Linked DNA regions of Xenopus tropicalis. The protein of the gene in region 2 interacts with the protein of the main gene of each other region in a pairwise test. Links are inferred from orthologs where the notes say so. Each region holds a gene or a part of one and is shown on either strand. Other genes may lie near its edges.

The links. The genes of interacting proteins can lie anywhere in the genome.
Region 1: the proteins of pex13 (region 2) and pex14 interact in a two-hybrid assay, tested with the Homo sapiens proteins (2 studies listed by BioGRID and IntAct, with this or other methods). The link is inferred for Xenopus tropicalis from reciprocal best matches to the Homo sapiens genes PEX13 and PEX14.

Annotation. Positions count from the first base shown.
Region 1 is NC_030683.2:64,165,921-64,169,577, reverse strand, and holds part of pex14 (peroxisomal membrane protein PEX14), read right to left. Parts: intron 2,303-3,657; coding exon 2,200-2,302; intron 1-2,199. UniProt on the Homo sapiens protein: Component of the PEX13-PEX14 docking complex, a translocon channel that specifically mediates the import of peroxisomal cargo proteins bound to PEX5 receptor.
Region 2 is NC_030681.2:33,784,145-33,788,227, reverse strand, and holds the start of pex13 (peroxisome biogenesis factor 13), read left to right. Parts: upstream 1-1,222; 5' UTR 1,223-1,321; coding exon 1,322-1,398; intron 1,399-4,083. UniProt on the Homo sapiens protein: Component of the PEX13-PEX14 docking complex, a translocon channel that specifically mediates the import of peroxisomal cargo proteins bound to PEX5 receptor.

The sequences.
Region 1 (3,657 bases), on a different chromosome or scaffold from region 2:
TGATGAACGTTATTCTTAAATCACAGCAATATTCTCCTCCCTTGCAGTGATTTGTCGTGTACGCTTCCCCATCTTTACTTCTGAGAAATTCTCTGGGATCCACTCTTTTTATTCCCAATCATGGTACTGACCTCTTGCCAATTCTTGAGATGTTTAGATTGTAAGCTCTATGGGACAGGGACCTCCATCCTCTTCTCTCTTTGATTCTTAAGTTACTGCAACTGTACCTTGTATTAATTTGTAATTATTGTTATACTTTGTATTTATCTATTATTATTTTAATAACCCCCTGTAGTATTAACCCAGTGATCCCCAACCAGTGGCTTAGTAGTTGGTGCTCCCCAACCCCTTGGATGTTGCTCCCAGTTGCCTCAAAGCAGGTGCTCATTTTTGAATTTTTGGTTAGAAGGCAAACTTTGATTGCATAAAAACCCAGTGTAATTGCCAAAAAGAGCCTTCTGTAGGCTGCTAGTCAACATAGGGTCTTATCAGTTAGCCATTTATAGCTCTCATTGGCACCTCCAGGAACTTTTTTCATGCTTGTGTTGCTCTCCAAAAGTTTTTCCATTTGAATATGGCTTACGGGTATAAAAGTTTGGGGATCCCTGTATTAACCCATTGTTCTGCTGTACAGCGATGCATACAAGTAAGTAGCGCTTTATAAATAAAGATATACATACATGTTTTACCAGGTGTTTTTTTTTTTTAACATTACACAATTTTCTGGTGTTGCTAGCATCAAATTCAAAACAAGCATATACTGTATACTATATTATATTTTTCAGAAAAATAATTCTGTTTCAACATTTGGTATGTTGTCTTCGTACTATCTGCAGTTTAAAACTGGGTTTAAATGAAAATCATCCCATTTTCCTTTTATTTATATTTTACACAGTATATTTTTTATCTTTTTTTTATCTAGTGCAGGCATTTAAGCAGCAACAGAAATGGCTTAAAGGGGATGTGCACTAATATATTCAACTCTAGTTTTAAAGGATTTGGCCAAAAAAGAAACACTACTGAAAAAAAACAAAACACTTTTACGTTTGTTAGCAATTTTCCTTTAGTACGCTGGTTGCTTTTTGAAATACAGATATATATTCTGTTCCAATAAAGACTTTTAGAAGGCCACTATAAAAAGATTTCCGCAGCAATTCAAATTTTTATAAAATGCTGTAAAATGTTCAACAAGTTTTACCACAGGTTGTAACAGTTTAAGTCACATCTGCACTCTGCACTGTAGGGCCAATGTAAAAGATAGGCAACAAGACTAATTATGAAAGAATGAGTTATAATGCAGTCATTTGAGGCAAAGCCTATCATTTAGCAGTGCTCAGGCTACATATTTACCAGTGGAGACATAATTAACAAAAACATGTATTTACAAGAGCAATAAAAACTTTTTTTTACTTCAATTTTTACCCCAGCACAATGAAGGAAGAATTTTTGTATTATTAAAATGAATAAAGACTGATATAAGACTGGGTAAGACTGGGCTACTACCTAAAATTATGTTATATATATATATATATATATATATATATATATATATATTCTACAATGTACAAGTTCTTATCTTGTTGCCCATAAATTCAGGACTAAATGCTACAGAACTATAATCTCAGAAAGTTAACTCTTCCCTTTTCTTTTCTATATGCTGGGCAATATGATGAACAAATGTTATTAATATAAATATATTTGTATCACTATATGTCACATTATATATATATATATATATATATATATATATATATATATATATATATATATATATATATATATTAATATATATTAATAAATTCTGGATGCAATGGAAGGAGAGGAAATGAAGAAGATAATTCCTAAACAAACAAATCCAGGCAATTCTCCACACTCTTGCTGCATGGCTGAGAGGAGGTAGATGCTTGAACCTTGCATTGCTCTAAAAAGCTGTCACTCCAATTCCCTTATTAATATTCTGAGGTTGGGAGCCTTTCCGTAAAAACATAATTAATTGAGGCCGCAGCGACAGTAAACAAGCAATTTCAAATTAAACCGAAATGACGGCGCCTTCATTTGCAAATGTGAACAGATTTTGCGAGCAGATAAATGAAGTCACCATATAAAAGGGAAGAGACGAATACTGAAGGAGCAGGAGGAGGGGAAGAGGGGGGGCTGTGTGTGTGTGAAGAAGGGTGAAATGGAGTCGTTAATCTTTACCTGTCTGTGTCACACTGCCACTCATCTCAGACACCCCAGACTCAATACGCTGCAGCTGCTTGCGGCTTTCCCTGCCACCAATGATCAATGGGAGCAGGTATCTCTGTAAAAGGTAAGAAAACTAGAAGTCATGGAACTGAGCAGGCCGCTGCCATTCAAACACCACTTTTAGGTTTTATGGGTATTTTTTACTCAAGAATTATTCTCTTGTCTTAATCTACTAAAAAACAATTAAACATTTTAAAAGACCTATAGGACTGCTTTGCAACCGACATGGATTTATGCAGCTTCGTTAACATCAAAGAAAAGGTCGTTTTGTTTATTACAGAGAAAGTAATTTAAAAATATATTAAAAACAAAAAATATTTTAAACTGGATCCAGCGACCTTTTACAACCCAGAGCATATTAGAAGTATGCAAGTATTAGATGACCTGGGTCTCGGTGTATTATGTAATTTAATGTTTTTATATGCGGTAAGAGTGTCAGTCCTCTCTGGCTTAAAAATAAAGTTTGAACAGTAATAACTTAATAGCATGTTAAATAGCTATTTAAAAGCATGTTAAATTTCTGTTTTCTGTGTTTTTAGCTGAAAACTTCATAACCCAACCTGCCTGCTAAACAATGAATCTGAAAGTACTAAAATTCAGTTTCCTAAAACTGCTTTACATGCAACAACTGATCCCATTTTTTTTTCAGTATATCAGAATTGAAACAATACAGGTTGAAAGTATGGCTCCATTAATAAAAATGGAAATATTTTATTATTATATGTTACAATGGTCTCTTGAAAAAGCAAATGTGCTTAACCAGTTCTTTTCTTCACTTCTTTCCACTCATCACATACAGCTCTTCTCAAACAAGTCAGCGGTGACACAGGAAATGGTATTAAACCTTAGCAAAGTAATGTGGAAGGCCTCCTGCCCTGAAGGATTACACCCTTGAATATTTATAGAGACTCTAGTTTGCTTTTAGCCAGGTCTTTTTCTCAGACTCCTTTTCATATTGCATGGTACAAAAAGATTTGAGAAAGAAGATGCATTTCCAATATTTAAAAAGAAATTATAATTTCAACCCACATCTGTTGTTGGCAAACAGTTTTTAAAGTAGCATTGTCACAAACGCCACCACAGATGTAAGTGACCAGGTGGGCGGCTGTATGGGTTAACACATCAACTACACAGTTTCTCGCTAACTCATGCAATCAACCCCAAACAGCCCCAACCCGCCGAACTTAAAAATTGCCACCACAGTGTTTTCAGGCCGCAAGCACCCCTCCAGTCTAGATGTTCTATTGGACACTGATGCTTCACAGAGGCAAATCACCCTAGGCCTTCTAACTCTAACTAAGCACTCTAGCAGACACCCCAGCAGACAATGCAAGTTAGTCTACAGACAACACACAACTTTTCTGCAAGCAAACAAAGGGTTAAGCAGACACACTTTCCTTCTAACTAGCA
Region 2 (4,083 bases):
TGATTCTTACTGAAAATCCACTCATTTCCCTTTGATCTACTGCACTGAATGCCTAAAAAGATACAAAGTCAAAGGCATTTGGCAGAGAGCCCTGAATACTCAACACCTGCACTTAGATACAATTGTAACTAATAAGATAAACAGATCTCTTGGGGGAACGGAGACTTGCATCTTTAAGGGCATTTCATTAACACTGTAATAACATATGAAACAAAATCTCAAGAAAAGTGTTCAAATGGGCAGCATTTCTTTTTGCTCCTCTTTGCATTTGTCCAATGTTGGGGGGTATGTTTTATAGAGACCTACATTGTTTAGCCAGGGTTTTTTTCCTCAAATATTTTATGACTTTGCACTGCTCCTGAAAAGAATATACATGTCTTGTTAACTCACAGCAGGAGGGACAGTGAGTGTGAGTGAGAGAGTGTGTGAGTGTGTGAGTGTGTGAGTGTGAGTGTGTGAGTGTGTGAGTGAGTGTGTGAGTGAGTGTGTGAGTGAGTGTGTGAGTGTGTGTGAGTGAGTGAGTGAGTGTGTGTGAGTGTGTGAGTGTGAGTGTGTAACTCACTCACAGTCCTGCTCATTTCTATAATCAATTAAATACACCAGAATATATTTGCCAAAAAGAAAAATCTTACCTTTGTCCTCACAGAAACTGCTCACTAAGGGCACAGAAGACTTACAAATCCGACAATTCTAATTAATTTCAGATACCTTTTAAAAGGTAAAAACAGAAAGAGAAGCAGTGTGTCAGACACACGTGTTTCAGACTTGCCTCTCCTGTACCGACACTCGGCAGAAGTGGCCTCTACAGTGTGGCCTATTTAATAACCAGGCCTAGTCTCTGTTATTTCTCTCCAAATATAACAGACAGACAGTGGTATCTAGTTAAAAACAAAAGTAAAACTATAGGTGTGTAAATAAACGGAACGCAAAACAGGTTTATTGCGACTGGGGGCTGAGATATTGTTGCGCACCTATCGTTCCAGACTTTATGAATCAAATGCCGATGCCGCTGGATAACCCAGAGCCCTCTGCTGGCTGGGGGACATGTTATGCACATGCTATTCAGGAAGCACAAATAGAGTTACATTTAAGTCATTAAAATATAGCAACTTGATAATTCTCATCTGGCCGGTACATAATGCTAATGTTACTACCGGTAGTTTGTATACTAAGCTGCACTCGGCTATCTATAAACAGTCCTTTTCTACACAGGCACATCGGCCGCTTCACCCCATGGTTCGATGCATCGGCGGTTGATTAATGTTCAGCTGGCTGCTCGGTGCATAGGGCTGCCTTCGCTACGGACCTGCAACCGAGCAGGATGGCGTCTCAGCCTCCTCCGCCTAAGCCATGGGAGAGCAGAAGGGTGCTAGGCGGCCTCCCGGCCCCGTCCTACCAGTAAGCGTGATAATGCTTGGGGCTAGTGTAAGGCCGCAGATCTGGGCAATAGGAAGGGTGTGTAGGCCAGTGGGACTGAAGTCCAAGGAAAAGCAACTTGTGTCAAAGCTGATGTAAAAGCGAGAAGTTAGAAACACAGAGTTGCCTTTATATTGGGTTACAGCTGCACAGTGTTGCCAGTGTGTATATCGGGTATTTGCAATGTGCAACGCCACAACTATAGTGCTGCAGGATGGACTGTTCTTATTCTCCACCCAGTAGGATGGCTCAGCTTCCCAGCATTTCTAGGGGCAGCGCAGACTGACTATTATAGTACTCTCATGGTGCTAAACCCGGGCAGCTCTCATTAGTCCACCTGAGTGCAAGGAACACTAATAGAAGCAAATGCCAGATTGGTTGCTGTAGGACAGAGAGATCCCCAACCAGTGGCTCGGAGGGCAACATGTTGCTAGCCAACCCCTTGGATGTTGCTCCCATGTGTGCCCTCAAAGTAGGTGCCATCTTTGCATTTCTGGCTTGGAGGCAAGATTTGGAAGGCAAGAGACACAGATTTACCCCAAGCAGAGCCTGCTGCAGGCCACATGAGGCTACCAAATAGCCAATCACATCCCATATTTGGCATCCCCAAGGAACTTTTGGCTGGCTCTGGGCTGGAGATCCCATATGTCTTTTATTATCAGCTCCCATCAGACAGCCAGAGCCTGGAGTTTTCTACTAAAGTAGGAATAGTTCTAAACTCCCAGCAGTTTTTATTAGTCCTCTTGACTGGGCAAGTGCATGTAACACCAGCGGAAGCAAATGCAAGACTGGCTGCAGTGGAGTGTGCAGTTTTACTTCAGTTTTGTTGCACTATAACCTGGCTGTGCAACAGCTCTCATCATCCTCTGATAGCTAGACCCTGGGGTTTGTAGTTCAGTAACAGCTGTTGGGCCTTCACTTAGTTTAAAATATCAATATGTGAGCCTTAATTTGTATTTGTAAATATCTGTGCAAAAACCCCAATTGATTAGCTGATTCAAGCTAGAATGTCAGACTAGCCCCCGTTAGCACTATGTCTCCCAGCACCTTAAGGTGCCTAAGGAGCTGGCATGTAATGTATCGAGGGCTTCTTAACCTATGAAAGGTTTCATTGGTAGCAGTGCTGTAAGGGTTTTGTTATAGCAGAATGCCTCTTGTACGGCACGCACTGCTTGTGACAGTGTTTATGATTAGAGGTAATAGGACTCAACTCAAGGAAGTCCAAAGGGTTTGTTTATTATGTTTGTATGACTCCACAGTTTGCCTCGAGAGATTAAGGAACACTGATCCGTGCATATTCCTTTATTAATCCATATTAATCCATATTGTGTCATATATTAGACGTCACAAAGACATTTAATCACCGTGTAAACTCTGCAGTTAATTTTAATACTCTAGTCTAGTGTTTAAAAGTAGGGGATAAAACTTTCAGGGAGTTGAAACAATTGTGACATCATTATGAGGCAGATTTATTAACATTTGAATTAGAGTTTTTACCGTGATTCGACTGTTTTTTTAAAATCACAAACTCAAATTAGTTTCCAAAACTGGAATGTTAAATATTTAATTAAGTCAAAAAAACTTGCAAAAAAAAAAGTCTAGCAAACTAGGCTAACTAGCAAATCCATGCAGGAGTCTATGGGAGTTGTCTTTGCTAAGTTTTTCAACATTTTTCAAGTCAATTTTTTTTTAAAGTTGGCAGATACATTTAAAAATTGAGTAGAATGCAATTTTGCTACATTCATGTTTTAAAGTTTTTTCTAATTACGTTTTTTTTTTAAATTTGATCTCAACTAAGATATAATTAATCCTTATTAGAGGCAAAACCTATTGGGTTAATTTAATGTTTAAATGATTTTTTAGTAGACTTGAGGTTTGGAAATCCAAATTACAGAAAGACCCCTTATCCAGAAAACCTAAGGTTCTGAGCATTCTGGATAACAGATCCCATACCTGTAATACAAATATTTTAATGGTTAATGTGATACTAGTCACCATAGAATTTATATTACAGGTTATTTGCTACTTTTGCTATTATTATGGGGGTAAAACACCAGATTTATTTTTTTTAAAAAAGCTCTTTGAAGCCAAAACCATGATTTTCCTTGCACTGTGTTTACATATGTGCTTTTCTGTTTGTAGACTGTTAACCCCCCATGTGCACACACACAGGCATTCTGGTCTGTTGTTTACTATTTTTAAAAAAAAGCTAAGGTCACACTGGAGAACATACCTTTGGAGATAAGAGGGGGTACTGTAGTTAAAGCTGGCCATATGCTGAAAGATTCACGGGTTTGGCAAAGTCAGTAAATGGTAGGATCTTTTCCTGATATGCCCACCTTGAGGTAGCTGATATTGTATTGGTCACATTGATGGAATGGATGGGTGTGGACCACATCAACAAGCTAACACGCTCCTCGCACCAACTGAATTTTTAAACCTGCCCAATGAACATCTGGGCAATTTTCAGCCAGGTATCCATTGGGTAGGCCAATCAGAGGGCCCTGCACTCATTCGGCAGCTTTTATTGGACCCCTGACTTGCCTTTAGGCACAGTGCACCAGGGCAAGTAACCTGCAGCAACTAATACACAGGTAGCATTTACTAAATACTAGTTTAGAAGTAATTATCTAAAGAAGATAGAAAAGACAAGCTATGCAACATGTC